Linked DNA regions of Notamacropus eugenii. The protein of the gene in region 1 purifies or fractionates together with the protein of each later gene. This does not show direct contact. Links are inferred from orthologs where the notes say so. Each region holds a gene or a part of one and is shown in the gene's direction. Other genes may lie near its edges. The genes, in order: PAG1 and FYN.

Region 1 (15,888 bases):
CTAAACAAGAAAAAAGGAGGGAAAGGGACAAATGAAGGGTGGAATACGTGGTAGGATAGATTCACAGAGGGATTAGTCATAGGTAAAACAAATTACCTAAGAATACATAAAAAAATATTTAGAGCAGCTCTTTTTGTGGTGGCAAAAAATTAAAAATGGAGAGGGTTCCTGTTATTTGGGAAATGACTAAACAAGTTGTGCTATATAAATATGATAAATATAATTATGCTATGAAAATGTTGGAGACAATTTCAGAGAAATCTGGGATGACTTGTATGAACCGATGCACAGTGAAGTGAGCAGAAGCAGAAATTTATACAATGACAATAAAGACAAGCATCTTTGAAATACTTTGGAATTTTAATCAGTGTAATTCCAGATGACTCATGATGAATCATGGTACCCACCTCCTAATAGAACTTACAGTGCAAATAGAGCCATATTTTTGTTTCTGGGCAGGATGAATGTGGGAGTTTGTTTTCCTTGATTATATATGTTTGGAATAAGCATTTTGTTTTTCTTTCTTACTTAATTAGAGAGGGAAGGTAAACTTTTGATGATTGAAAAAAATTCATTAAAAAAAGCATGCCAAACTTTCAAAAAGTAGGTTATAAGACTGATATATCTTATAACTCAGTTAACTGACATAGACTTTGATTTCAGTTAAGTATGTGATTATGTCTCTTTTGCTATTTTTGTGAATAAAGTGTGGAGATCTTGATTAGGTTATAGTATAGCCAAATAAATTAAGGCACTGATTGGATGGCTAGACACAAGAAGTAGTCATTAATAGTGTGATATAGCCTTGGAAATAATCTCATATGGAGTACTCCAGGAATGTGTGCTTGGCCATATGCCAAGATAATATTTTTATCAGTGACTTGGATAAATGTACATATGGCATGCTTGTCAGATTTTAAGATGACACGGAGCTGGAAAGAATAGCCAAAACACTGCATGACATAGTCAGCATTGAAAAAAATATGGACTCTAACTCTTGATAAAGATCTTCAGTGTTCCCAGAATTATCTTACCCAAGGTTCTAGGATAGTTTTGCTTTTTTTTTTTTTTTTTTTAGGACAGTCTTTAGGAATTAGTATGTAGTGCAGAACCATAATTGTCTTAAGAGATTCCCAATGGTTGGCAAGAATTTCAGAAGATCTCAGTCCTGGGGCCCTTCCCTTTCTCTGAATGGAGAGGGAAGAGGGTAGACATCAGAGAAGACCTCCCAGACCTTCTCTTTAAGGAGGGACTCCAGGGCAGTCACATTGTTATTTCTCCCCACTCTAAAATTTGTCAGTATGTCCCTGCACCAAGTACCCTTCCCACTCTTTTCAGCTTCTTTTTTATTTGTTGTTTTTCTTTGCATCCCAGTACTCAGCATGGTGCCTGGAACATAGTAGTTAATAAATGTTTAGTCACCTTTGACTTATTTATTGACTAATATGGGATTTAATAAGGATTAATGCAAAGTTTCACATGGGCTTAAAAAAATTCACTTCGCAAGTTCAAGATGGAGTAGCTGTGTGGGTAGCATGTTGTATGAAACCAATTGTGGGGTTTTAGAGGACTGAAAGCTCAATAGAAGTGAATAGCATGATATGGCAATTTGAAAAGCTAATGGTATGTACTAGGTCTGTATCCCAAAAAGAATCAAAACAAAGGGGGGGGGGAAGGACTTATTTGTACAAAAATATTTATAGTAGTCTTTCCATGGTGGCAAAGAATTGGAAATTGAGGGGATGTCTATCAATTGAGATATGGCTGAACAAGCTGTGGCATATAGTAGGATGTTTTCAGAAAAACTTGGAAAACTTACATGAACTGATGCAAAATGAAGTGGGCAGAACCAGGAGAACACTGTACACAGTCAGAGTAATATTGTGCCATGATCAACTGTGAATGACTTAGCTGTTCTCAGCAACACAATGATCCAAGACAATTCTAAAGGACTCATGAAGAAAAATGCTATCCACCTCCAGAGAAAGAACTGATGGAGTCTGAATAGAGATTAAAGCACACGATTTTTCACTTTCTTTATGGTGTTCGTTTATGTGCATGTGTATGTGCATGCACATGTATGCACTTGTCTTTTCTTGGTCTGTGTTTTCTTCCACAGCATGACTAACAAGGAAATATATTTTTCATGATTGCATATCTATAACCTATATCAAATTGTTTGTTGGTCTTAGAGAAGGGGAAGAGAAGGGAGTGAATTTGGAACTTGAAATTTTTTTTTAAATGAATGTTAAAATTGTTTTTACTTGTAATTGGGAAAGAAATAAAATATCAGAAAGGGGAAGGAAGGAAGGAAGGAAGGAAGGAAGGAAGGAAGGAAGGAAGGAAGGAAGGAAGGAAGAAAAGGAAAAAAAACTAACGGCAACTACAATACGAGTCACAAAGCTTCCAGGAATAAGGATGGTGTAGTACTTCTGTGGTTTGTCCTGGTCTTGCATCTGCAACATCTCTATATCTTGATGTCTCCATTTAGAATGTCATATCCAGTTCATAGTACCACATTTGAAGAAGGTTTTGATATCTAAGGAATGTCCAAAGAAGGGCATCTGGGGGTCATGAAAAGAACCTTGGTTCAGAGATTTGGAATTAAAAGGCACCTTAGTTGTCATCTAGTTCAGTTCCTTCATTTTACAGATTAGGCAACTGGGTTCCAAAATAGCAAGATACTATGCCCAAGGGCACACACATAGTAAGAAGCAGAACCAGAGTGTGACTGCCCCCAATCTAGTGAATCTACTTTACCACTCTACCTTCCCTCATGCTATTCTCAGGATTAGTTGACCATAAAGGGAATGTTTAACTTTGAGGAAAGAAAGTCTGACATCAAGTATTTGAAAGGCTGTGATGTGCAGAACAATCAATTTGTTTTGTTTGGCCCCAGAGGGCAGAAACAGTGGGTGGAATTTTGCAAGAAAAACTCCCTAACAGTTAATAGCTCTCCAAAAATGAAATGAGCTGCCTTGGGAGTAGAGGATTCCTCCTTCACAGAAGATCTTCAGACAAAAGCTGAATGACCACTTGTTATGATCTCCTAGGAGGTCCCTTCTACCTCAGATTCTGTGATTCTCTCCATGTTGGTGATCCAGAGATGCTAGTACTCACTAGCGCTCTCACTCAAATCTCCTTTCTTCATCAGCTTCTTTACCTCAATCTCAGCACTTTTCTCACTCCCTGATCTTTTCCCATCTGCTGCTTAGGACTACAAATGGTGTTAGATTAACAGAGCATAGCATTTTCTCTGATTACCATTTAAAGGACAAGCTTATATTAATGGTGTTATTGTGTGAAATGGCAAAGCTAGAAGAATTAAAATTGAATTTAAGAACTCTCTCAACAGCTCTAGCGGAAATATTTCCCTCTTTCCACAGCACCAGTTTTTTATTTAACTTCAAATTTCAAGAATCCATGATTTTACTGACTGACCATTAACTCCACTGATGTAAATTGCCACCCTTCACTGCTTTAGTAGCTGCTCTTTATGAGTTGTTAGGGCCACAAATATTAATCCGCTGCCAACCAAGTTATGGATAAGCCTCTCATCCCTAAGCTAGAATGACAGAAAGATCAAATTTGGGGATCATACAATTCCAGTGTGCTCAGAGAAAACTCCAGAGTGTAGCTGGAATCAGATTAAAAATGCTCTACACAGCCATGTCAAACTCAGCTAGAAACACATCGATGCCAGCTACATATTGACTTAGAAAATCACAATTTAACATTATGTTCTACTGTATTTTTATTTATTTTGCTAAACATTTCCCAGTAACATTTTAATCTTGCTCGAACCCTCAGAGAGACAACTTCTTTGATATCTCTGATCTACAAGAGATATACCAGATACCATGCCCTGTAGCATGTAACCCTTTCAACTCTGGAGCTCCCACCTTGGTGACCATGCTGTCTTGATTTGTGAGTGTTTCAATTCTAGCCAACCCCAATCATAATTCACTTGCAACCTAGAGATATCATTGCCTTCCAGTATATACTCATTTCCTTCCATCATTGCTTTCCAGTTTTCAAACTATAATCAAGTCCATATTGCCACATCTATGGTTTCATTTACCATGCTGGCAATTTTTCAAGCCAAGCCACTCATTCTAGTGTTTTCCCCATTAGAATACACAGTCATTGAAGCAAAGGACTTTTTTGCTTTAATATTAATTATTAATATTTAATATTAATAATAATATACCCAGTACTTAACACAATGCTCAGCACACTGTGAGCTCTCAATACTATTTTAGTCTTCCATGCAGACGTGCATTTGTTGTTGGACCTATTCTCAAAACCTTCCAAAATTTGGAGTCTACTGCTATCTTTAAGAACTTATGGTCACCTTCATGCCAAGATGAAATACTGATGTAGAGTTTTCATGAAAAAGTTCTTCTAAAATGGCTGCGGGAGAGATCTTATTCTGAGCATTCTATCCTGAGAGATGTCAAGATGTGACGGGTAAATAGGCCAAGGGACAAGGGCAATTTTCATACTTGAATCTGCAGTGCGAAGATATCACCTCTTTCCACTTTTATAGCCACTCTACCCCAGTTCCCATAATTTTTTTCTCTCAGTTGGAAGCTCCTGAACTGTCAGGTTCTTAAGCCCTGATTTTTCATTTCAGTGCACTGTGTGGTCACAGGACATTAGGAAGCTTTACCTTGATCTCTCTGAAATGCCTTCTCTACAGGACGTCCTCTCAAGGGGCTACTAACGACTGAGTCTTGACAGAAGAGGAAAGTATTCCTTCCTACCCTTTTAAAAACTAGAGCCAAGCACACTTTATGCTAAAAACAATAGCAGACTTCAAGTTATAAATTTTAACTTTAAATAGCATCTTGATATATCCCTATTGCCAAATACCAACTAGGAAATCACGGAAGGGATATGAAACAAAAGTTAGAAGCCTATGGGGTTAGGGATAAGGATGGGCAGTGTGATTTCATTAGTATGGGGAGCTCCAAAGAGAAGAAATTCCCTCTACCAATGTAGGTCAGCACCTTCTCTCAACTTACAATCTTAGAGTCACTGAGAGTTAAAATGACTTGCCCAGGATCAGACACACATTAGAGTACACTGCCTTGAGTAGGTGAAACACTTAGAATGCTCTAGCTTTTAAAAATCCGTATAAATTTATTTCCTTCTGATGCCTTGTTATTTGGTACTGATAGATTTAATTCTCAATATACACATAGGGTATGTGGTACAGTGGGTAGAGTTCAAGGCCTTGAGTCAGGAAAACCTGAGTTCAAATGTAGCCTTAGATTAGATACTTACTAGCTGTGTGACCCTGGGCAAGTCACTTAACCTTGTTTGTCTCACTTTTCTCATCTGTAAAAAAGAGTTGGAGAAGAAAATGGCAAACCATTACAGTATTTTTGCTAAGAAAACCCTGAGTGGGGTCACAAAAAGTCAGACAGGACTGAAACAACTAAACAACAAATAAACTGACAGTTTCTAACTTAAAAATAGTCAGCCTAGGAATAATTCAAGAAAGGATCCTGTCAAAACTCTTGCCCTGCTACTCTTGGAGTTTTGCTGCCCTACCCTTGCTACCTACCAGGGCTGCTCTCACCAAATGTACTGCCACCAGAGCTCTTCCCATGACTCAAATTAATTTATTCACTTCCCTGCCACTAGAAGCCTCTTCCAACACTACCTGAGGAGCCAAAGCCAATATTTAGAGGGGTTCAGGGGACTCAAAGCTGAGGAATAAAAAAGGTTTGAGATTGAGAGATCAGGTAAAAAGTTTTTATGGGTTATTCTGGGAGCCTCACCATCATTTATAATCCTATTTCTATAGGAAACTACATTCCAATCAACCACTTTACTAGAACACAATCCATTCATAAATTGTGGACTCTCTGTATTATTATAAGAAGAATTGCCTTTTCTGCCTATTTCAAAGAATTCTCTCCTAGAGATTGAAGATCAAATTTGTTTAGCTTTTACTCTGTGCTCACATGAAAAGAGAACTAGAATAAATCTTTTCCAAGAAACAATTTGAAACTATAATTTAAAAAATTTTTATTTGTGAATTTACTGTCCAAAGCTTCTCCTCCCAGCTCTTCTTTTGGGTCTTTGCATGTATTAGCTGCTTACCCACAGTAGAAAATAAACATAGAACTCACAGATTTTCAGATGAAAGATGCTTTCTAAGCGAAAATTCTGCACAAATTATAACTAACAATACCAAAGAAAGAAACACTGGGTCAAATTTAGTGATAATTTTTACCGTTTTCTGTTGAAATGTGTGTTCATCCTTCATTGCCGAAGACTATGCCACCAGAGAAATGATGACATGACTTGCACTTGACTTTGTTTTGAGTGAGGGAGGGTTGTGCAGGTCACCAGCCTCACTTCTCCTCCAGAGCCATCTGAATTCAGTGACCAGATATTCATCAGGATGACTGGAGATGACCCAGGATGAGGCAATTGGGGTTAAATGACTTGCCCAAGGTCATACAGCTAGTGAGTGTGAAGTGCATGAGGTGAGATTTGAACTCAGGTTCCCCTGACTCCTGTACTGGTGCTCTGTCCTCTGCACCACCTAGCTGTCCCTTCTGCTGAAATAAAAAAAGTTTAACATAAATCCATCTTTTATTTGTTTTTTTGGGTTTTTTTGAGTATGCAGGGGATAGTTTAAATGGAGACCTCAGCACATAGATAATCAAAGATATCACAAACAAGGCCTTTAAAGAAACTGATTAGGAGTAGAATCTTAACACAGGAAATAAGTGTGCTTTGTTGACCTGTAAGGAATAATATAGGCCTTGGGAAAAACTGTGGATATTATCCCTACTTCTCTGTAGGGTAAGCTTATGATAATAATAATATATGAGTAATAACAGCTTTCATTTCAAAGCACTTCCACATACATTTGATATAACAGCACTGTAAGACAGAAAGTGCAAGTGTTTTTGCAGATGACAAAACTGAAGATCAGAGAGGTCATGGGGTCATTCAAAGATTCAGAGCTGGAAAGGCCCTTTGAGGTCACTGAGTTCAACTACTTCCCTTTACAGATGAGGAAAGTGAGTCTCACAGAGATTAAATTATTTGCCCAAGGTCACATAAGCAGGAGATCTAGGATTTGAACCCAGGTTCTCAGGCACCAAATTCAGAGGATGTTCTAATTCACAATGCTGCTTCTTATGATGGAATTCACTTGGGAGTCACATAAATTGCCAGGAAGCAGTCAAGAGTTCTAGATGTAGAACTAGATAAGACTTTAGTGACTACCAAATGCCTCCTTTGAGGCAACTTCTTGGTGCAGTGGATAGTAAGCGGGGCCTGGAGTCAGGAAGACTCATCTTTGAGAATTCAAATCTGGTCTCAGACACTTGCTAGCAGTGTGACCCTGCACAAATCACTTAACTCTGTTTGTCTCAGTTTCCTCACCTGTAAAATGAACTGGAAAAGGAAATGGCAAAGCACTCCAGTGTCTTCACCAAGGGGGTCATGAAGAGTCTGACAAGATAACTACAAAAAGAAAAGTCTCATTTTGCAAATGAAGAAACTGAGACTCAAAGGTGACTCAAAGATGGCTTACCTGGAGCAGAAGAGAGGTAGCCAAGATAGAGACTACTGTAACCTAAGCAGCAATTTTTAATCATCCCTTTTTCTGGAGGTGATCAAATTTCAAAAAATGCTATAATGTATTTTGTGAAGTTAGTGTCCATAATATTGGCTTAAAATACAATTACATTGGGCTACCATAATTATGTTCTGCATAATTTGAGCCTGGTACTCCTGAATTTTAATATTCAATTTAATTCAACCAACATTTGTTAAACGCGATTATTTTAATGGCACTATATTAGGTACTGGGAACCATAAGAAGAAAAACTATGTGGTGCAGAGGAAAGAGATATATTCGGTATCAAGAGGCTTTAAGTTTAAATCCCAGTTTTTCCATTTACTTTTCTCTTGGTATGTCCTTGGGCAAGTCATTTGACCTCAGTTTCCACACCTATAAAACGAGAGGGTTGGACCAGATGGCTTCTAAATTCTCTTCTAACTCTAAATCTATAATCCAGTAATCATCCTACCTTCCAGGAGTGTGGTCTCTACTAAGAGAGGAGATACAATGTATACACTTAAGTTCTAGTGTGAATAGGTAAAGGGAGCCTTTGGGGATGCTAAAAAACATCTTCAGTTGGGACTACAAGGGAAGAATTCATGGAGGGGTTTTTTACTGGCAGGTTAAACAGAGATCTTGGACGTTTTGAAAAAGAAAATATTTTGTAAACCTCAAAATACTCTATAACGGTGAGTGAATCTATTCTTTATCAATCGTTTCTATATGAGTTCTGCTAGATAATGGACTTTTTTAGTCCAGCCTGAGAACCCAGCCACTCCTTTAAACGTATTTTCCTGGGAACTTTGGGACCCAGCCTTGGGCTGGAGGTTTCTTGCACCCAGCTGCGGAGAGGGTTCCGCTCCTCCAGCGCACCCCGCCCTCCAGCCTCCTTTCCCTCCCTCCCTCCTTCACTCAGTGACGTGCCGCAATGGCCTCTACCACACAGGCTCTGGGGGAACATGCGCACTGCCGCCACTTGTGTCTCAGCTAGCCCGAGCTCGCCGCGGCTGTCAGTCTCCGCTGTGCGGGTCAGCGAGCGGACCGCTTGGGCTGCAGGGGCCCCCTCGGGACTGTGACTGGCCCGCGCCCGGGAAGCTTGGCGGCTTGGCCGTGCGTCTTCTCTGCCTCTGCATTCCCTCTTTTCCCTTTAGAAAAGAAAGAAAAGAAAACCCAGCAAGTTCCATCAGACTGGGGACACACTCCAGAGGCTCCCACGGCGGCGGCACCAGGAGGAGTCGCCGGGAGCTGCTCGGAGGAAGCCCGCAGCCCTAGCCTCTGCTTGCCGCCTCCCTGTCTGCTGTGGCTCCGGAGCTCTTGCCTGATCCGAGGCTCAGTACGGACAGCGCCAGACGCCTTCTTCCACCAGCTGCACTGCAACCACTGCCTCCTCCTGCGCCTCTGCTCCAGCTCTGCTCCGACACAACCAGGCTGGTCTGAAGCCAGGCTCCGCAGTCCCGGCTGCCACCCTAGAGCCTGGGCTGGGGCCGCTGCTGTAGCCAAGGGCGTCTGGATCCCAGTAAGTTGAATGCAGTTTTCCTGAAGTTGAATAAGGGGGCGGGGGACAGGGGGAGGAGAAACTAAGAGGCAGTGCTGGGTTTGCATGTGTTTGTTTTTATGGGGTGGGGGTGGAGGGAGGAGAGAATTGTGTTGGGTGCTTGGAGGAATTGGCTTATGGCCCCCCTCTCTCCTCTCCAGCAGTTTCTGGCTTAGCTGCAGCTTGGGGCTGAGGGGGTGGAAAGAGAGCCCCTACCCTTCACGCTGCCCATAGAAAGGGAGAAGGGTGTCTGGTGACTGGTTGGGGTGGATGGGCTACTTACTGGGTGACAACCCTTGAACCTCTGACGGAGGCACCAGTTGGAAGCGTGCTTCGGGAGGACAGGTGCTCTGATGGTATTTTGCCTAGTGCTAAGCGCACATTCCAAACATCTTGAGAGAGAGAGAGAGAGAAAGAGAGAGAGAGAGAGAGAGAGAGAGAGAGAGAGAGAGAGAGAGAGAGAGAGAGAGAGAGAGAGAGAGAGAGAGAGAGAGAGAGAGAGGCTGATGTGCCTTATGTCAAGTCTGCACTGGAGTTGATTCTGCGGGTTTCCGTCTGGCTAGGACTGCAATGGACCCGCGTCTTTTGCGTGAAGGGAGGCAAGAGGAAAAGCTGTTTTTTCCAGGTCACTGGTCTGCCTAACTACCTCAGTTCTCAGTACAGGGACAGAAGTTGTTAGCGTTGGGGACAGATCTCTTTAGGGGGAAAACGAATTTACATACAAATTCAACACTTTAAGTTGGAGGTGGCGTAGGAAGAAATATCATGTAACTTTAGGAATGCAGGGGCAATTGACAAAGGGCAAGGATTCAAACTGAGAGGACTCCATGACTTTCCCTTAGCTGTCATTTTTAATGTAAGGAGAACAGTGAAGTCTCTCTGAGCGCGTGTTAGAACTCCATCTCTCACTGCAGTGTCTGCAGCTTTGGGGCTCCGTTCTATTTGGTTAACATCCAACTTCATCAGGATTTAATGCAAATGCTGACATGCTATAGGAGCCTGCAGTTTGAATCATACTGCACTTTTCAAATTGAAAAGCCTTCTCTTAATAGTATAGTACAGAAGGAAGAGTTGAGTCTGTTTTCAAAGCAGCACAAGGAATTGGATGCATAAATCATTTTTGAAAATCAGATACAGTATGTACCAGCCTTTGAAGACTTTCCTTATGCTTTTTACAAAAAGTAGAAAACATGCTTGCCAGACAGTTGTTGAGCCTGAAAGTTAAGTGTACTGATGGGCCTAATTAACTTAATAAACACAGAGAATGATTTATAGGTAGCTGAACTGTACTACTTTGAAGGATAGAACTCTTTAACCTTTCTTTCTCATCTGTCCCCCAGAGGAGTCCTTTTAAACATAGCAATATATCATCATTGGTGTTTAATTCTTGAGTTGATTAAATTTATAAGAGTAGTAGATTTTGAAATTCAGCATTACTGTGAGGCTATTGGACAGTGACTGTAGAAAAAAATTAAGAAACCAATTTAGGATGTATGTGATTTAGAAGCCATTGAAAACACTGCTGCAGAACTGATCTCATTCCAATGTCAAAATATTTTTCTTAATTTGGACCTAAGATAAAAGAAATTAATTCCATTATAAACCCAGGCATATGACTGTCAGACATTTAACTGAGAGAAAAGTATATTTTATTTTAGGTATTTCATTATACAGAACTTTTATTCTGGGGTCTATGTATACATATGTTGTCTAATGGAGTAGGTTTTATTTTCTTTATACCATAAGGCAAACTATCAATTTTTAATTTTTTTTGTAAACATTAAATATAGTTGGGGTTTTTTTAAAGTGCTATGTTAGTCCCTGGCAACTTATATGAAAATATCCTGGTCTTCCTCTTTTAAGTATCTACATATTTTAGTTTCTTAGGCTATTTAATATTAATGGATAGCTAAGACTTACAATCTATGATGGTATCCTTTTCCAAGTAAAAAAATTTATATGTATCATTGTTCTAGAAAATGTTTCTAAATGGGATATGTTATGGGTCTTTCATGACTGGTAGAGGTAACAAGAATTGTTGAGCAAATTGTTATTTTTCCTGTATTGGCATAACACTATCAATCTTTTTTCCTACCTTTGTAAATACAGCTGAAATGACTTGCTACAGATCCTAAGGCACAAATATCCATCAAATTTACCCATCTAACTTAAAAAAAATTATATTTAATATATCATCCTATTTTTTGTATGTTGCATCATTGTGTAAATTAAATAAGAAATATTTCTCCTTCATATAAAATAACCATCTGTCCCAGTTTATTTGCTTTCCAATGTCTATTCAAGAATGTATAATTTTCTTGTTACATTTTATATGCTAAAAGATTCTATACTCTAGTAAATTTCATTAATCAGTTTTGTAGAGATCGAAAATTGATTGTGTATACACTGCTTGTAATGTGTATCTTTTTACTGTCTCCAGGACCCTGATTTGCAGTTGGGTGGAGCAGTGGATTGGGCACTGGGCATGGACTCAAGAAATTGTTAAGTTGTTTCAGTTGTGTCTGATTCTTCCATGACCCCATTTTAGGTTTTCTTGGCAAAGAAACTGAATTGATTTGCCATTTCCTTCTCCAGCTCATTTATACAAATAAAGCACGGAGGCAAACAACTGAGGAAACTGAGGTAAACAGGGTTAAGTGACTTGACCAGGATCTCATTGCTGGTAAGTGTTTGAGGTTGGATTTGAACTCAGGTCCTCCTGATTCCAGAGCCAGTCCTCTATTCACTGACCTCATGAGACTCAAGAAAACCTGAGTTCAGATTCAACCTTAGACGCTTATTAGCTGTGTGTCCCTGAGCAAGTCAATTAACCTCTCTCTCCCTCAGTTTCCCCAACTATAAAATGGGAATAATAATGACACCTACCTCATAAGGTTGTAAGGATCAAATAAGATAATGTCTATAAAGCACTTAGTACATAGCTTAATAAATGCTTGTTCCTTCCATTGACATATGAGGGACACAAGCAATTGAGTTCGTATAAACTCTGCCTTTTCATTAACTAAGATATTCTATCAAAGATAATCAAGGCATCCTGGGTCTATGTCTATCTCTGTACTCCTGGAGAAACATGAATCCTGCCTTCAAAGAGCTTACAGTTTACTTGGGCAGCTATGTGTCTGTCACAGTGGATAAAGTACTGCTGGGCCTGGAGTCAGATTTGCCAGACAATTCCCAGAACTTTGTGACTAACTGGATTGGGTAGAGAAGTAAAAGTGGACAATTTTGAGTCTGAGTGACTATGAGAATGATGGTGTTACCAGAAACAAGGAAGTGAGGTGGAGAAGCCTCTTTGATGGGACAAGATAACAAATTTAGTTTTGGACATGTTTACTTTGAGATGTTGAGCTATCCAGATGATGAGCAACAGGCAATTGTACGTGACGACTGGAGAGATGTGAGACAACAAAGATTTAAAGATTATTCACACAGGAATGATAATTAAAGTCACGAGAATTAAGAATAAGGCGAGAGATGACATTATATTCAATTCAATATGCATTTTAGTGTCTACTATGTGCCAAGCACTGGAGTAACTGTTGGAGATTTGGAAACATAGACAAAATCATCCTTTCCCTCATGGAGCTTATATTCTATTGGGAGCATGGTAATATATGCACAAACAGATTAATATAAAATGTAAAAAGTAGTTTTGTGGTGGGAAGGGATAAGAAGCACTCGCTACTGGTGGTATCCACAAAGGCGCCCTGTGGGGAAGCAGCATGACAGAATGTCCATAAATAAGTACACAGATGATATATGGGGTAGCTGGGTAGTGCAGTGGTTAGATAGTGCACAGGGCCTGGAGTCAGGAAGATCTGAGTTCAAATTGGGCTTCAGATATTTACTAGCTGTGTGACCCTGGGCAAGTCACTTAACCTCTCTCTGTCTCAGTTCCTCATCTGTAAAATGGAGACTGAGTGGAGAAGGAAATGGCAAACCACTGGTATCTATGTTTGCCAAGAAGACCCCATGGACAGGTCCATGGAAAAGTGTAGAGTGAACAGTCACACAACTGAATGACTAGACAGCTACATATATATGTACACACAAACCTACATATATGTACACGCAAATGTACATATACGTACATACATGTGTGCATGTATGCATGTGTACATATATTGTACATTCATGCAAAGTTTTGGAAAAAAGAAGAGCATTTAACAACTGAGGAAATTAAGAAAAGACTCAAGTGGGCTTAAAGCTGAGCTTTGAAGCTCCACCTGAGATGGGAGAAAGTTCTAGAAAAGATGGCTAAGAACAGGCTTTGGAATTGGCTACATCTATGCTGTAGAATTAGGAAGAGGAGCCAGTGAAAGAAAATAGAGCGATTTGATAAAAAGCAAAGTGATGTAGGGACAACAAGGTGGCACAGTGGATAGAGGGCTGACCCGGGAGTCAGGAGGATCTGAATTCAAATTCACCCTCATACATTTACTAGCTGTGTGACCTTGGGCAATGCACTTAATCTCTATTGCCTCCAAAAAAAGAAAAGGAAAAAAAGAAAAAAAATCAAAGTAATGCAGTGCCAAGGAAGCCTGAAGGAAAGAGTTCCAAAGAGGGAATGATTGATTCATCATAGTGTCACTGAGAGGGTAAGAAGGATGATGACCTAGAAAAAGCTATTGGAATTAGACCAACTTGAAGGTATCAGTTTCAGTGAAGTAGTGGAACAAAAGAATCCAGAATCCGAGGGTTTAAGGAGTAGACCCCCTCTTTTAAGAAATTTGGTTAGTGAAGGGAAGAAGAGTGATTGATAGATATAGATGGATAAGTAGCATTAAAGAAAGTTTGTTTTTCCTGGTTACAAATTATTTAGACCAGGTACAAATATGCACCTGGAACCAAGGGGCAAAGCCCTGCCACCCAGCATCCAAGTCCCAGACAAATTAGCAAAAAAAAAAAAAAGCTATGGAGAGTTTTCTTAGGGTGACTTGGGTATAAAGGAAGTCTAAAGTCAACCAGCCTCTAAAGTCTTGAGACACCTAAATTCTCTAGAAATGTTACTTTTGGGGACTTTGCTGCCAAGGTAGACCTTTTATGCATAGCATTTTATACATTTCAAGACATTTTTACTTTATTATCTCTCCTGAATAATAAGCAACTTAGAATAGGTGGTTTTGTCTTTATTTTACACATTAAAAACCAGGGCATACTCAGGGGTGGGGAACCTATGTGGCCTTGAGGCTGAGGCCTGAGTGAAAATCCTGCCTCAGATACATACCAGTTGTACAAACCTGGGCAGATCATTTACTTTTCTCAGACTCATCTGTAAATGGAGATAATAATAGCAGCTACTTCACAGGATTTTTGTGCATTTATAATTATATAATTTAATTTAAAGTACCCTGCAAAATGTAGAGTGCTATATATATGTTAATTATATTAGTTCTGTTGTTCTTATTAGTCTAGTGTTCCATTCATTACAGTCTAGTGACTAGATAAACAGGAAGGCGCTGAGGATTGATTTTTGGTGCTGTTACGTTGGCCAGTGAAAGACAAGTTAGGTAGAGAAGTCTAGTGATTGTAGACTCTGCACCATGCATCTCTATGTCTTGGGCAAGGTCTGAAAATCACTCTCCTTCTAAACACTCCCTCCCTCCATTTCTGCTGTATTTGAATGTGTACAGTTTTTAAAATGAGTTTTCAGCCCTCATTGTACCACATTTGATCTGATTTACAACAGATACCTAAGTGCAATGAACAGTGGCATTTATTGCTATTCCATTTTCTTTTACTCATCAGTTTTGTTTTGCCCTCTCTCCACCTTTTAACTTTCTTTGTACGCAGAGCATAGAATGTCCTAAACTATTGCCTACTTTGTGTACCACTAGATCCAACTCCAGATGGTTGTATGACAAGTTTCCTGTTCACAAACAGCAGTTGGTACCCACTGTACAGAAACTTCATATCTACACCTTTTGGGGAAAGAAGATACTAAGATTAAGAGGCCCAACCAACTTAAAAAAGGAAACCACATGCTAGTTTTGTGAAACAGGAAATATCAATCCTTCAAATGATAGTGGAGCCACAGAGTGTTTATCTCTGTAAGGGTAAAGGTTTACATCATAGTAATATGTTTATCAAGGAAATGACAAGCACAGAAATCTCAGTTTTCTTAGATGATTAAAAAATGAATTTTATTTGAGAAACTTAAAAGGAAAGTCAACAATAAATATTGGGAAAATTACTCTTCCCCTCACCCTGTGTTTGCCTTCCCTCAGGAAATAGCACATTATTAACAACAATGTCATCTGTCATTTCCAAGAAGAATAGCTTTCTTTTTAAAGAAGATTTAATCCATAAATCTAAAAGAATGATCAATGGTGATGATCTGCTTTGAATTGTGTTGTTCTGGAGTAGAAATATTTCATTAAAACCCCCTTCTCTTCCCACTCCCCATTTCCAATTCCCATCTTGACAGTGATTTAAAGCCTTTTTGGGAACCTTTCCAAAATGTATATTCTATTTTTTTTCACCTGATCAAAGGCAAAATATGTTGATTTTAGTTATGTTGTATTTGGACTTGTCTTAATGGCACCTTCATTTTTCTGTGTGTTTTATTGGAACTCTTTGCTATATTTATTCTAAGTAACCCACTGATGTACATGGAGTAAGCTCAGAGAATTGGGAAAACTTTAGGTGCAGTATTTAAGGCACATGTTTTCTGTTGGGCTAGACTCAAAATATGTCCCTTCTGAACCCTTTCAGTGATGTAAAGGGACCAATTCTTCAA
Region 2 (15,662 bases), on another chromosome or scaffold:
ACTCTGATGCCTATTAAAGAGTAAATTAGCATAGTTGGGGGGGAGGGGAGAAGTTTAAGGAGGAAGAAAATGCCGGTATTCAAGGGATAGTGAAATAAATGTTCATCCTTAACAAGGCCATATCTAGTTCTATACTGTAGTTGTTTGTCCATTTGCTTAAGTAACACTTTTATTGTCTTTTAATTTTTTAGAAATTTACTTCTGCATAAACACATAGCTTCACTAATTTGTACATCTTGAAGTTTCTTTGGCACCAGACTCTATGGTCTCAGGAATACTGAAAACTATTGCTTGGCTGAACCCCATGGCTTTGTCTGCTATAAAATTCTGCCTTCCTGTCAAGCATTGGGAAAGTAAAGCACAAAAAATCTTGCTTGAAATCAGAATTATCCTAAAGCTGTAACAGAATTATAATCTTAGAGCTGGAAGAGGAAGTTGCAGCCTAGGAAGGGTTCTTGACCTGATAGTAAAGTAAGTTCTTAAGAGTAAGGATAGTTTCTTGATAGTAAGGATAAATTTTTAATAAATGCTTATTGGCTCACTAATTTGCCCAATACAGGTAGTATCAGAGGTAACCTTTGAACCTTTTCCCTCTGATTTGAGAGCCTGTACCACGCTACCTGACTAATACTTGGTATACAGAAAGGCATTTCCACTTCACTTCCCCTTTCACTTCTGTGTGGGCACCACTACCTTGTGAGTGCGTTTAGTATGGAATAGTCTGGATTCATTGACTTTTCTTTTAAAGGTTGTAATGACAGATTCATTTAATGGATATAGGTGACCATATGTAAAAATTCCAGGAGTCTTCAGATTGCATTGAAGTTTTAACAGATTGGCTACAAACCAAAATTGTTCATTTAGTCAGGATTTACTGGCTTTTTTTTGTGGGGGGCGGTATATGGAAGCTGACTTGACAGTTAAAAATAATAAACAATTAGGAGACATAGTATGGTATGGTGGTTAGAGTAGGGGTCTTGGAGTAAGACAGATCTTGGAGTAAGACTAAGGCAGGGTTCTAATCCTGCCTCAGACACTGTATCATTTAATTTTTTTGAGCCTCAGTTGACTGGCTTATAAAATAAGGGGTTTGGACTTGACCTCCAAGGTCTCTTCCTACTTCAAAGCAATGACCCTATAACTTATCAGATTTGTCTGGTGTAGAGAGCTAGTAAAGCTTCCTACCCTACTTTTTATGGGAAACCTTAAAGCAGATAACTAGAGGAATTGACTAACGCTACAGAAATAGATAAGACATCCATTCTGGACAGTTTGCTAAATCTTTGTGAAGCATTACAATGTTGCATTGGGAGTCAGAAGACTTGGGTTTGAATCCTGGCACAGATAACTAGTTACATGATTTTGAGTAAGTCACTTTTCCTCATCTGCAAAATAAGGATAATAATAGCATCTACGTCAGAGGGCTGTTATAAGGATAATATATGTAAAGTGCTTTGCGATCTTTAAAGAATTATACATAGTTATTATTATTGGAAGTCATTTGCTACATTGAGAAAAAATATTTGGAAAAGATAACTAAATTCCATTATTACACTATTATTGAGGGGCGGGGGTAGGGTCTTACATTTTAGTGCTTATTATATTATATGTTTATAGAAATCAATCTATTTCCGGGGCGATGATTTCATGTAAGGCACATATAATCCATATCATAAGTGATTTTCTCTCATGACAGAGTTCTCCTACATAGTATTAAACCTAGCTTCTGAGTTTTTGCCCTAGAACAGTGTCTTGATTAGAATATTTTATTGTGAAGCTGCTACCTTTTGTATGCCTGAATTCTTCATATTTCTTCACTTGAATTATTTGTGCCCTGGAACAAAAATAATTATAGTTTAGGTTGATAGATTTAAAGCACTTTTCTCATAAAAACTCCATAAGCTAGTGTATGTATTGTTATCCTCATTTTATAGATGAGGAAACTGAGTCTGAAAGAAGCTAATTGACTCCCTTACAGCCATATAGCTAGCAAGTGTCCAAGAACCAGCTAGGTGGTACAGTGGATAGAGCACCAGTGCAGGAGTCAGGAGGACCTGAGTTCAAATCTTACCTCAGACATTTGACACTTACTAGCTGTGTGACCTTGGGCAAGTCACTTAACCCCAATTGTCTCATCCTGGGTCATCTCCAGTCATCCTGATGAATATCTGGTCACTGGATTCAGATGGCTCTGGAGCAGAAGTGAGGCTGGTGACCTGCACAGCCCTCCCTCACTCAAAACAAAGTCAAGTGCGAGTCATGTCATTATTTCTCTGATGGTATGGTCTTCTTTGGCAATGAAAGATGAACACACAGGTTCAAGAACCTGGGTCCTTTGATACCACGTCCAGTATTACTCCATTACATTGCCTTTCTCATCTTCGTTCACTTGGTCCCCATGGTGGAAATTATTCCCCTTCCACCCATCTCTATCAATTGAAATTCTTCCCTACCTACATGGCCTAACTCAAGTGCCATGTGCTCCTTGAAATCTTGCCTACACACTGAAAGATGCATCTTCCTCCTGAATTGGAGCATTTTGTGTAGCCCTTCTGCTTACCCTTATCTTACCCTCCTTGTGTCCTAGTTATTTGTATACACTTTGTATACATTTTGTATACATTTTCACCTCATTAGATTGCACATTCCTTGAGAATACAGTTTTTGTTGTATGTATCAATATAGCCCTTGCACATAGTAGGCAATGACTTTAATACATGCAAACACAATGGAACATCTTTCCAAGTACAAAACATAACCTCAGGCACCTGAATTCAACCTTGTAAATACATTTAAAAATTTTACCAGCTCAAGCAATTTTTAAACAACACTACTCCATGAAGTAGTAAAATGAATGAATTGATCTTTTCTTCTCCATATAAACTATTACTCACCCTGGGTTACTAGGATATTTCCATAGCTGCCTTTCAACACAACATTTTACAGTAACTATGGCTTGAAATTCTGTTACTTCATTTAGTTGCTGGACATCCTCATAAAACATATTACTCTTAAGGTGGGCAAAATCTCAAAGAATCTCAAGACATTTTTGGTGGTTCTGCAAAAGTATTGGAAAGTATGTTCTTATTTGGCACATGGGAAATGTATCAATTTTTGAAAAAAGAATGAATAGTTTTAACCATTAAACCTTGTAGACGGGAACTAACAATATATGAGTATGTATGCGTGTATAGTGCGTGCTCTGTAAGAGATTGTTGATTGATTGATCTAATTTTCTCTTCTGTAAAATGGAAGTAATTTTGTAGTTATTTTTGGCAGTTCTTAAGCCCCTACTATGTGCAAGGTGTTTGCAATAAAAAGATGAAAATGCAACCTTACTTGCCTTGAAGGATCTTACAAACTGAAGTGCTCAGGAGATGACTTGCCTGAACTCACCCAGGAAATAATACAATAAGATGTCCTAATTCCCAATTCCCTCTTGTGTATTATGTCTAATGCAAGTACGGCTGAAAAGGAATAAAAGTAAATGCAGTCTTTTTAATTATCAGAGTATTTAGTTTCAAGTACTCCATTTTAACATATCTGGTAGATCTTAAATTGTGAGCTGTTAAAGGAAAGGAAACTTTTTTTTTCAATTTTTTAACATTTCTATTTAAAGTTTTGAATTCCAAATTCTCTCTCTCCCTCCTCTTCCTCCCTTTCCCCTTCTCTGAGATGGTAAGCAATCAGACATAAATTATACATATGCAGTTACATAAAACATTTCCATATTGATCAATTTGTACCAAATGACTTGAATAAAAGGAAAAAATGAAGGAAAATGAAAAATAACATGCTTCAATCTGTATTCAATAAATATAAATTCTTTCTCTGGAGGCAAATAGTATGCTTCATCAATGCGTCCTTTGGGATTGTCTTGGATCATTGTATTGGTGAGAATAGCTAGGTTCTTCACAGTTCTTCATCGAATAATATTGCTGCTACTGTGTACAGTGTTCTCCTGGTTCTGTCCATTTCACTATGCATTGGTTCATGTAAGTCTTTGCAGGTTTTTTCTGAAATCATCCTGTTTGTCATGTTAAGAAGACATGATATTAATAAGATATCAATATTCCATTACAATCATGTACCATAGTTTGTGTAGCCATTTCCCAATTGATGGGCATCCTTTGATTCCCAATCCTTAGCCGCCACAAAAAGAGCTGCTATAAATATTTTTGTACAAGTAGGTCCTTTCCCCCCTCTTTTTTAAATGTTTTTGGGTTAAAGACCTAGCAGTGATATTGCTGGAGAAAAGAAACATTTTAAAATCTAATCTGTATGCCACATCTAGCATAATGCATCATGTCAATATATATCTAATAAAGGGTTTTGATGATGACGACGTCTTACCTTGCAACATTTATAACATACTGGGTGCCATACTAGCAAAGCATTTGACACACAGAGAGAAAAACATTCCATACAGAAATTTTTAGTCATTGACTTATTAGAGTGTTAATTAATAAAATTACCTTAGATTCATAGATGGTACTTTGAAGTCTTTAAAAATCAGTAATGGCTAAATTAGGAAGTAGGAATGGTACTTTAGAAGATGAAGTTAGGAAGGTTAACTGGACCTGTCCAAATCATCAAAATCCATATTGGAGGCTGCACAACTTTGAGGGCCTTGAGGGATCATTTAGTAAGTTTTATTAGGGAGGGGAAGATGCCAAAAAGAATGGACAGAATTACCACCTCAAAAAAGTGATCAAGAGGGCATCGGGAACTACTCACCCATATTCCTACTTTATCTTCTTCATAACACAGTTATGAGAATGAGCAACATTTTTGTCCAGGGTAAAACTAGATGAAAATATGAGACAGAAATCCAGTCTTTCATGATTTTCTATAGCATAATGAATGAATAAATGAATTCACATAAATGAATAAAGGAACTTATTGAGAATTTACTAGTTAAGTCAACAATTACTTATTTTTAAATCATATTTTGTTTCCCCCAATTATATATAAAAACAATTAAAATGGCTTTTTAAAAGTTTTGACATTCTAAATTCTGTCCCTCCCTCCCTTCTTCTCTCCCTGAGATGGTAAGCAATCTGATACAGGTTATACATGTGCAATCACATAAAACCTATTTCCATATTAGTCATTTTGTGAAAAGGAAGAAAGGAAGGAAGGAACAAAAGAAAGAAGGAAAGAGAAAAACGGTATGTTTTAGCCTATATTCAGACACCATCAGTTATTTCTCTGGAGGCAAATAGCATTTTTTATCTTGGGTCTTTTGGAGTTGTCTTGGATCATTGTATTGCTGAAAATAGTCATCCACAATTTCAATAATCATTTATTAAACACCTGCTATGTGCATGGCATTCTACTAAGGGCTGAGGATACAAAGAAAGGCAAAAGACAGTCTTTGTTCTCAAGAAGATCATAATCTAATTCAAGAGAAAACACGCAAATAACTATACAAAATAGAGGCAGTTGGTAGCTCTGTGGATAGAGCTCTGGGCCTGGAGTCAGGAAGACCTGAGTTCAAATCCAGCCTCAGATACTTCCTAGCTGTGTGACTCTGGGCAAATCACTTATTCTCTGATTGCCAGACAAAACAGATTCATTGGAAAAGGAAATTGCAAACCACTCCAGTGTCTTTGCCAAGAAAACCCTAAATGGAATCAGGAAAGGTCAGACGAGATTGGACAACATGTATAAAACAAGGTATGTAAAGGATAAATTGAAGACAACCCCAAAGGGAAGGCACTAGCATTAAGGAGGATCTGGAAAGACTTCTTGCGTAAGGTTAGATTTGAGCTTAGACCTGAAGGAAGTCAGAATACTGAGAAAAGAAGGGATACAATTCTGGATAGTAAAAATGAGTGGAGTCTAGAGATGAGAGGAAGGCTTGCGAAAGAAGTAAATTAGGAAGGAAGCCAGTGTTATTGGATATCAGAGTACATGGGAGTAAGGTAGACTGGAAAGAGAGGAAAGGACCAGGTTCTGAAGGACTTTCAAAGCCAAGCAGAATTTTTTATTTGATCCTGGAGATAATAGGGAGCCCACTAAATTTATCAAATGGGATGGTGACATGGTCAGACCTGTGCTCAAAGAATTGTGCTAAGGAGTAGCAATACAAATAGAAAACACAGTACCTCCTCTCAAAGAATTCAACATTCTACCTGGGTTTGACAACACACAAAGGAGGCTTTAACTGCAAGTCAATGGAAAGGTCCTATTGTTCCTAAGAAACAGCAGTAAAGAAGATGATAATGCATCATCTTTAATGACATTTCTCCACTAATAAAATAATCCAGAGTTCCTTCAGTATTTGATCCACTCATCTGAACCACCTAAAACACTCAAGAAGAATCCAAATACTTTTGAGGAAGGCAGTAAATAGGATTTTTAAGGTGTTAAAGGAAATAAGACAGAATGCCCTCTTGATGGCAGCTTGTCAATAGGTACTTTGGATGGCATATTCAGTGTGGTATGAAACAAAATGTTGACTTAACAGTCAAAGGACTGGAATCTGACTTATTACCTAGGTAACCTTTGGAAAAGGACTTAAAATCTCTGAGACTCAGTTTCCTCATCTGTAAAATGAAGGGATTTGATCAGATGATCTCTAAAATCAGCTTTAAAGCTATGACTGTATGATCTCTTGGTTGATTGGTTATTGTCCTTCATTCTCGAAGAGGATCAAAATAACATCACCATAATAAAGTGAAATTTCAGTGTGTCAGACTGTGGCTGATCAGACCAATATGAGCTTGGAATGCTCTACCACAGGCTGGGCACAGATAGTCTGTATGAATATTTGGGGTGGATATTCCAAATTTGTACATCCTATGTTTACTTTGTGCTATTTCAATTCTGCTTTGCTCATAGAGCACAGCAACCTTTCTGATGTGGGCATGCTATGCTGAGTGGTCCTGTGCCAGTGTCTCCCATGTTGCACAGTCAAATCCAAAGTTCTTGAGAGAGACCTTGACAGTGTCCTTGTATCACTTCTTCTGGCTACCATGTGATCGCCTGCCCCATACAAGTTCTCCATAAAATAGTCTTTTGGGCAAGTGTACATTTTGCATTCGACCAACATGCCCAGCCCATCAGAGCTCACTCTCTGAAGCATAATTTGAATACTTGTCAGTTCAGCTTGAGCAAGGACTTCAGTGTCTGGTACCTTACCCTGCCAGGTAATCCTCAGAATTTTCCTAAGACAGTTCAAATGGAAGAGATTCAGTTTCCTGGCATGGTGCTGGTAGACTGTCCATGTTTCATTTTTAAAAGACAGACTTGTAGAACAAGTGGGAACAACCCATAGACAGAGAAAATTAACAGTAGCTAGCTGAGAAATTTGAGGTACTTGAAGTATTTTCAAAAGGATCCCTGCTTATCCTTTGGATAAATGTCAATATCTTCTCTAAGACAGTGTATCAGAGTCTTCTTTTTCTTCTTGTAGGTATTTTTAAGGGGACCAAATGAAACAGTGTTCTATGGCAATGTTATTATGTTCTGATTTGTCTTTATACAAATATTAGTCAGTGTGGTGCAGTGGCTTTGGAGTCAGAGGACCTCTGCCATTTACTTACTTGGTGACCTTGGGCAAGTCACTAATCTTTTCTTAGCCTTGGTTCTCTCATCTGTAAAAAGAGAGGACTGAAGAATAGGGTCCCTTAAGCCCCTTACAACTCTAAAACTATGAGTAGGTCCTCCTTACTCTATTGTAAACCCATCAAATCTGTGCCAGAGAAGGCAGACAGTAATAACTGAGATGCATTCCTTTCTCTCTGAGTTATGCCATTAGAATTAAAGCTTATTTGGAGCGGAGAGGGGTTTCCTTGCACAAAGCATTAAGTGCAATTTGTTATTATTAAATGAACGAATTTTAGTTAAGCCTCAAAGTGAAACTCTCAGATAAAGAGAAATCAATTATAAAGAAAATCAGGAAGGCAAAATTTTACTTTTCATGTAGATATATCTCATCATACAAAAGTTGGATGACAGGAAATAGACTGATTTATCCCCCAAATGGTGTATCCCATCCACCAAAAAAAAAAAAATTTTTTTTTAACTACAGAACATGCATCGGAGGGCAAAGGAGTGGGAAGCTTGAATGTCACCCGAAACCAAAGACAACATTTGGAGAGACAATCCCCGGCTACTATTACACATGATTTTGAAAAAATGTGCAAACATAAGCTTCTACCCTATCATTATGGTATGCACACACTTGAATATCTCTTCTTTCCACGCAGCTCTAATCTAATCACCACCAGGCTTGACCACTTTGGGGGTGGGAGGAATCCTTTCTAGAAAAAAAAAAAACCTTTGAATCTTTTTCTTTTATATAGATTTCCCCAATTTCTATCTTGGGGAGAGTACCCCCCCACACACACACACACCTTCTTCAGACTGTGTAGGGAGCACACAGCTCTCAGAACGCTTCGCTGAGCACCCTAACACTTTATAACCTTGTCCTCCCACCCCTGAAACACTGTAACACCAGGAGGGCAAGCCGCTACTTTGTTAAACAGGTTTCCATGGTTTTAAGGGTGGCAGGGGATGGGGAAATGCTAAAACTGTACTGAAAGGAGTGTTGAAGAACCAAAAGAGAAAGACTCGTAACCCTTAAAGACTGAACTGGACGCAGCACACTTTACCCACTCCTCAATTTTTTGCTAAAAAAAAAAAATTCTCCATAAGCCTTACTGCTCACACAGCCCACTCCGCGAACTCAAATCCTCCTTGTCCCCATCGGGATGCCCGCTGACACCCTGAAGCACACCACCAGCTCCCGGGCCCGCCCACTCCCGCCCCCGCCCCCGCGGCCGGGTCCAATGACGGCCGCTCTTGGGGGCTAGGCCTCCGGTGATAGGCTTGCAGGGCCTGCCGCTCTCAAGATGCGGCCCTCCCCCTTTCTCCGCCCTTCCCCTCCCTTTTTTCTTTCTCTCCCTTCCCCAAGCTGGAGGGGCCGGAGCATCAGGGGGAGTAGCCCAGCCGGGAGAGCAGCCGCGGCGTAGTTGCAGTTGCGCCATCTGTCAGGAGCGGGCCAGGGAGGAGGGGGAGGAGAAGGAGGAAGAGGAGGAGGAGAGGGAGAAGGAGAAGAAGGAGAGGGTGGAGGAGAAGGAGGAGGAGGAGGAGGAGAGGGAGAAGGAGGAAGGCTCAAGGCTCGCTGTGCAGAGGAGCAGCCGCGCGAGGAGAGGGGAGGCCACGGCCCCTTAGAGCCCCCTCCTTCCCTTGCCAGCCGGGGCGGCGCAGCGCTTAGCTCCCGGGGTGGTGGGGGTGGCTTGCGGAGCGCCCGCACCGAAGCCGCCGCCTCCCAGAGCGGCAGCTGGTACCCGGAGGGAGCCGGCCGCCGGGGCTGGGGGGGGAGAGACCCTGGCGCTGTCCTCCTCCCGCTTCTCCTGCTCCTCCTGCGCCCGCCCCCTCGGAAGGGTCGCCTGCCTGCCTCCCCGGGAGCCCGCAGAGGAGCGCCGGGAGAAGACCATGTGAATGGGGCTGGGAGCCTCAGGTAAGCGGGGCGGGGGTGGGCGGGGGAGAGGATGCTGCAGCGGCCGCCGCAGCCGCCGGCACCGGCTCCTCCTCCGGACCCCCGCATCTCCGGCCGCGGGGTCGGGCGCCGCGCGGCCGCTGCGGCTCGCCAGCATTCTCCGGACCTGACAGGCGCGCGGCGCGGGCTTCCCTGCACTGCCCCGGCGCGGCGGACCCCCGACCCCAGCTCCTTCCCCACCCCGGGAAGGACTGGACTGGAGCTGGGCTCGGGCTCGGGAGGGAGAAGCGGGTTCCGCCCCTGCTGAGCTGGTGGAGCCCCCCGCCCCCACCCCGGGGGACCCTGGCGGCGTGGGTTGCTCTAATGACAGGGATGATGTAATCATTTAATAATTGATGATTCCCAGTAAGCCGGGGCTTGGCCCCCTGCTGCTCCCCCTCCACCTCTCCATCCTCTCGCGGTCCCTGTAGCTGACGATTTCCCATGCCCATCCTCCTGCGGGCTTCCATCACCTCCCTAAGCGACTTCCCCCACCTTCTTTCCCTTCCCCCAATTTCCCTTTCCTTTGGCTTCCCGCCCTCTTCCGCCTCTCCTTCTGCTCCCCTCAGGCTTTTTCTCCTCCCCCCTCAGCCTCACCCTCTTACCCCTCGCCACCTTCCCCTCAGCCCCCCTGCGTTTCCTCTCTACTTCCCCAGATCATTTGCTGGTTTTTGTCTCCTCCTTTCTCTTATCTTTAAGCCCACAGGCTGAGGGTAGTGAGCCAGAAAGAGGCAACTAAGACTCCTCGCAGGGCGTTTATTTGCTGTGACTAACTGCAAAAAAGGAAGGGAGGAAGGGAGGGGGGCATGATAAAAGTATCCTCCCTTTTCTTTCCCTCAAATCAATCTCACAGGCTGTGTGTGTGTGTGTGTGTGTGTGTGTGTGTGTGTGTGTGTGTGTGTGTGTGTGTGTGTGTGTCACACAAAGGGTCCTTTCAGTTCCTAGAGAAGAGACACACAAAATACCCAAGAATGGTGGGGTTTCCTGCTTGTTTCTTTTCCCTGGGGCTTCCCTTTCTCTTTCCACAGGAGGCAGGAGATCTTCTCTCTCACATCCCCTTTCCTGCCACATTTGGGGGAAAGATAAAGGGCACCAAATGCCCATTTGTGGGCATTTAATAACGTCCCAGGAACTGTAGGGGATTTGGAAGTGGACTATTTTCTCATGGTTGTTATTGGTGTGTGTGTGTGTGTGTGTGTGTGTGTGTGTGTGTGTGTGTGTGTGTGTGTGTGTGTGTTTAAAGGTTTCAGCAGCTTAGAGAAGTTTCCTTTCAGCGTTAGATGGCTTCTTTCCTGACTCCGTTTTGTGGGGAGGGTGCTAGGGGCCTGGAGTTAGGGCTATGTTGGTGTGTTGAAGGAGTAGTTTACTCATGAATCAGAGAATGATATTAATGGGTTGATCCATTTCTTAGTGATAGGGGAGGGAACTGAGTGAGAGAGAACTGAGCCTCCAGAAAGACTTCATTTCTTTCCAATCAAGTATAAGCAGAGACTTTTGTTATGGAATCTCTTTTTTATGTTTTCTCTGTCGATGTTGGTGTCGCTTTGTATTTAAGTACTCAGAACCATTATGAAGGCAACAAGACTTGAGTGCCTCTGGAAATACTTCTGGAAACCTTGTCCCTTTCCTGCCTCTGTCTAGCCTTCTTTACTCCCACATCCTTCCTCTCACTACTTGTGTATTTTCTACTCTTTGTGTTCTAACCCTTTCACCCCTAGATCCTGCCCCATGTATCCCCAGTATTCAGGTGAAGATTGTTGGGTTCAGAAACTCTCAGAGGAAGTGGTTTTGTTAAATATCTAAAACTTGGAGGCAAGACTGGCTGCAACCTATAGAAGTTTCTATGTATCTTCTGTCAGAACCCTAAACCATCTCTCTCATGACACTCTCTAGGAAAGAGGTCCTTAATCTGTGAACTTTTTTTTTTTATATTTTGACAACTATTTCAAAATAATTGATTTTCTTTGTAATTCAATAGGTTTTATTTTATATATTTAATAACATTATTCTGAGAAAGAAACCATGGGCAGTATATGATAAAAAAGAAAGGGAAGAATGTCACAGCATGTGTGTGTGTGTGTGTGTGTGTGTGTGTGTGTGTGTGTGTGTGTGTGTGTGTGTGTGTGAGAGAGAGAGAGAGAGAGAGAGAGAGAGAGAGAGAGAGATACAGATACAGATACAGATACAGATACAGATACAGATACAGATACAGATACAGAAACAGATACTCTTGCTCTAGGAAGAAATGTAAAGTTGGGTGCATTGTATGCCAATTCCATAATGGCTAAACTTGAGTATTAAGAGTCTGGTACCAAACCAATACAAATGTGGGGCAATGTCTCCCAAGTTAATTCTGAAAGAATACTTTTTTTTTTTTTAAATAAAAGCTTTGTTAGAATTGAGATCCCATCCGTGCATATTTGAATTTTAGAAGCCTTTCATTGTAAGAACTTTTTATTTGGAAAAAGTAATGTGGTTAACGGGGTTACTTCTGAAAACAAAGGATGGTTTGTTTTTAGACTCTAGAAGGGCAGTCAATGCGCTTTAAGCTTAAACTCTGTTGTCTAACCAAAAGTGGCTTCATGGACAAAATTGAATTTGAACAAAACCCCCATGCTTTGGATTCTGAAGCTGCTCATTATAGCATTTCTATTACTTTCTTTGAACATTTTTAGGTCCTTGTGGCCTCTTTAAGTGAACTCTTTTTTTTTACATGTTCAAAATAATTCAATTTTTATTTAATAATAAGCTCATGTAATATAGAAATTTGTCTCCGCCCCCTTTTCACAGCAAGGCAATTGGCTTATTCCATTCTTTACTCTTAGCTGAATTTCTCTCAGCAAAGTTTTTTGTATACTCTCAGATCAGAGGAAGGAACCTTACCGGTCATCTAATCCAGCCTCAGTTATTTTACAGATGAGGCAACTGAGGTCTTGAGGTGACCCAGCTAAGGTTAATACGGCTTTGTTAGTGACAGAGTTGTGACCAGCACCCAGGGGGCCCTTTATGTTACATGCTTCCTCCCTTATTTGGCTCTGAATGGCATCAGATTTCAGTTATTTTGTATAGTTTTTGAGAAGAGAGCTTCCAGATGGGCTGCTAAGACATATTTCAATGCTTTGAGGTCACAATGCTTTGAAAGCATGTCAGGACCGACAAGCAGATTGAAGTAGGATCAGTCAACATAAGGATAGGGCCTCTATTCAGTTCATGGTGCCAAATTATATTGGTTGGAGCCCTAGGGTAGTGTGCTGTCAGTCTAGCAGCAGACGTGGGGTGGGGAGGAGTACCTCCAATCTTTTTTAGGCCAAAATTGATGATGAAGTCTATCTACCATCTGGTGAGGGCTGAAGTAAGAAAATAGTCTTCCTATTAGAAGGATTTTTTTTCTTCTCATTTTGGAGGATCTAAGAGTAATAATAATTGTGCCCTTTTTCTACTTCAGTACTATTTTTCTCTAGTAGTGACAACAAGATTGGTGGAGAGTTGTTTTAATTGTGGGAGGACCAAACAAGTAGGTGCCAGCAGTTTATTTATTATGACCCACAAGATCAAAGAGAGAAATCTTTTTGTATCCCGTCAGGGGATTATTTGATTAAAATAAAAACTATTTAAATCCCTAGTCAGGTGCACTATATTGAATTATATTTCCCACAAAAATACATGACTATTTTGATACAACCTTAATAGCTATTGTAAGCCAAAGACATATTTCAGTTGTTAGAAGAGATTTTACATTTTAAGGCAATGATTTGTTTTGCTATTTCTAGTTGACCTAAAGAAACAGCTTTATTTTCATTTTAAAAATCTAATTTGACTTCAGCCTACTCTTTGAGCCTTACTGTGTACAACTCCCCCCTCAGATATTGCATATACCCTGGCTAATCTACTACTTGTCTCTAAAACTGCCCCTCCCCTACCCCCTCCCTGGCTTCTGTTTCTTTTGCCAAAACTGGTCTCTGTGTCTGAAATGGCCATCTTCTTCCTCTAGCTCCATGTATGGACAGTACATCTAACCTTCAAGGCCCTTCTCAGGTGCCATCTTCTAAATGAAGCCTTCTCTGATCTCCCATCCTCCCCCATTCTTCTTTATATCTCATCATTCTATAGTAATATCATGTATATATCATATTCCAATTTTTATTATAGTCATCTTTGTATTTATTTTATCTTTTTCAGAAATATTAGCTACCAGTCTCCACCCCACCCCCACACCCTGGAGGCTAAGGGCTATGTTTTATTTACCTTCATATCTCTCCTAGCATGCTACACTGCACATATTAACTGTTAAATGTTTGTTGAACAAATTAGTTAATTAATGAATACACCTGTATACATAACTATGTTTTTACTTATATGAAAACTGACTTCTGCAGTAGATAAGATAGTCTTTGGATGCTCCTTGTCCTCAGGCCAGGTCCCACAAATTATTAGTGCCACTGATGTGACAAAGCAGAAATTGTCTCCATCTTGAAATCAGAATAATAAAATACTTAACCTATTAAAAGCATATATAAAGCATCTAGGCATTGAGTATTAGCTAAAGCATAGTAGCACTGGTTCTCACCTGGGAAATAGGTTGTTTATCTTGGTTAGCTGTAGTCTAATGTAACTTGTCAAGTTTGCATTGCTACCAGTTCAATTCAGAAAACATTTAGTAAGCTTATTGTACAAAGCACTTGGTTAGTTTTGCCTTTTGGATATTTTGAATTGAATGTCTTGTAAGCATCTCACGTGTACTGTGTCTAAAACAGAATTCTTTCCAAGGTTTCTGTTATTCCTCAGGGCATTACCATGGTTTGCAACTTTTGACATCATCTTCAACTCCTCTCTTACATATACCGCTTAACTAGTTAGTTGTCCAGTCATGTCATTTCTGTCTGCACAGCATATCTCACGTGTTTCTCCTTCTGTCCACTCACACAACCACCAACCTCGTTCAGGCCCAACTCACCTCTCCCTCCAGACTATTGCAATAGCCTCCTGATGGGCCCCATCCTACCTTTCCAGCCTTCTTACATGCTACTTCCCACCATACACTCTACAGTCTTGCCATTCTGGCTTACTTGCTGCTCTTCAAATATGGCACCCCATCTCCTACCTCTCCCTTTGCACTGGCTGCCTCTCATGCCTGGAATGTTCCCTCTCTTTACCTTGCCTGGCATCCTTCAAGAAGACTCAGCTCCCCTTTGGAATGAGGCCTTTCCTTATTGCCCTAACTGTTAATGCCCTTCCAAAGTTACCTTGTTATCTGTTTTATCTCCCTTGGCTTCAGAATATAGGCTCTTTGAGGACAAAGACTTCTATTTTATCCCCTTGGCCTGAACTAGACAGTAAATACTTGATTGATTGAGACACAAAAATTATGCAGGCTCCTCATCCTCAAGGAAACAATTAGTAAATATTCTTGGAGGTAGAAGAATGTACTTCGATTAGTTATGAATAACCCTGAATTATTCTCTACCAGAGTCTCTTTGGCCATGCACAGTATGAGTAGTATATTTAAGGTGGCATATTAATACTATGAATTGTCTTACACAGTTTAAAAATCTTTTGCCAATTTATAGGTATTATTGGAGAGTTTCTCTTGAGGTTTATGGTCCCCTCTGGAGTCACAATATATAATCTTTAAGAAGCAACAAGCAGAAACTATGAGAGATTAGTAGAAATTGCCCTTTAAGGACCAAAGGTTAGAGAAGAGACATGAATTATGGAGACAAGTGTGTCACTAAGAGAATAGTAGAGCTTAGGACATGGGAGTGAGTCCTAGTAAACTGGAGGTAATGATCTTTTTTAAAAGGTGGGGAAGTAGTTTCCAAATTATGGTTGTGAAATGACATTGATGGGGTGGGGGGTGGAGGAGAGCTCGACCTCAGGTTTTAAGAAATACAGTCATCTTGAATTCTTAGAAATGGAAAACATGAAAGGGGGAGCATGGAGAGGGGAGGCAAGTACTTATAAGTAACTTCAACAAGTTTTTTAGTCTTTTAGTGTGGTGATAATTAGTATTAATTATGTTTCAATATGAATTGATTGGGTTTGGCTTTTTGGACTCCTTATGAACATGGAATCAATTCTGCAAATACAGTAAAAGTATAAATTGTGCTTCTCTGCCTCCTCTCTCTCCCCTCCCCACCCCTGAATACTGCAGGTGGTTCTTATTCAAGAAAAC

Evidence for each region.
Region 2: the proteins of PAG1 (region 1) and FYN purify together in Homo sapiens (co-immunoprecipitation; 3 studies listed by BioGRID and IntAct, with this or other methods). This does not show direct contact. The link is inferred for Notamacropus eugenii from reciprocal best matches to the Homo sapiens genes PAG1 and FYN.

The regions. Positions count from the first base shown.
Region 1 is NC_092875.1:304,580,189-304,596,076, reverse strand, and holds the start of PAG1 (phosphoprotein associated with glycosphingolipid-enriched microdomains 1), read left to right. Parts: upstream 1-9,008; 5' UTR 9,009-9,110; intron 9,111-15,888. UniProt on the Homo sapiens protein: Negatively regulates TCR (T-cell antigen receptor)-mediated signaling in T-cells and FCER1 (high affinity immunoglobulin epsilon receptor)-mediated signaling in mast cells.
Region 2 is NC_092873.1:192,201,421-192,217,082, reverse strand, and holds the start of FYN (tyrosine-protein kinase Fyn), read left to right. Parts: upstream 1-9,063; 5' UTR 9,064-9,472; intron 9,473-15,662. UniProt on the Homo sapiens protein: Non-receptor tyrosine-protein kinase that plays a role in many biological processes including regulation of cell growth and survival, cell adhesion, integrin-mediated signaling, cytoskeletal remodeling, cell motility, immune response and axon guidance.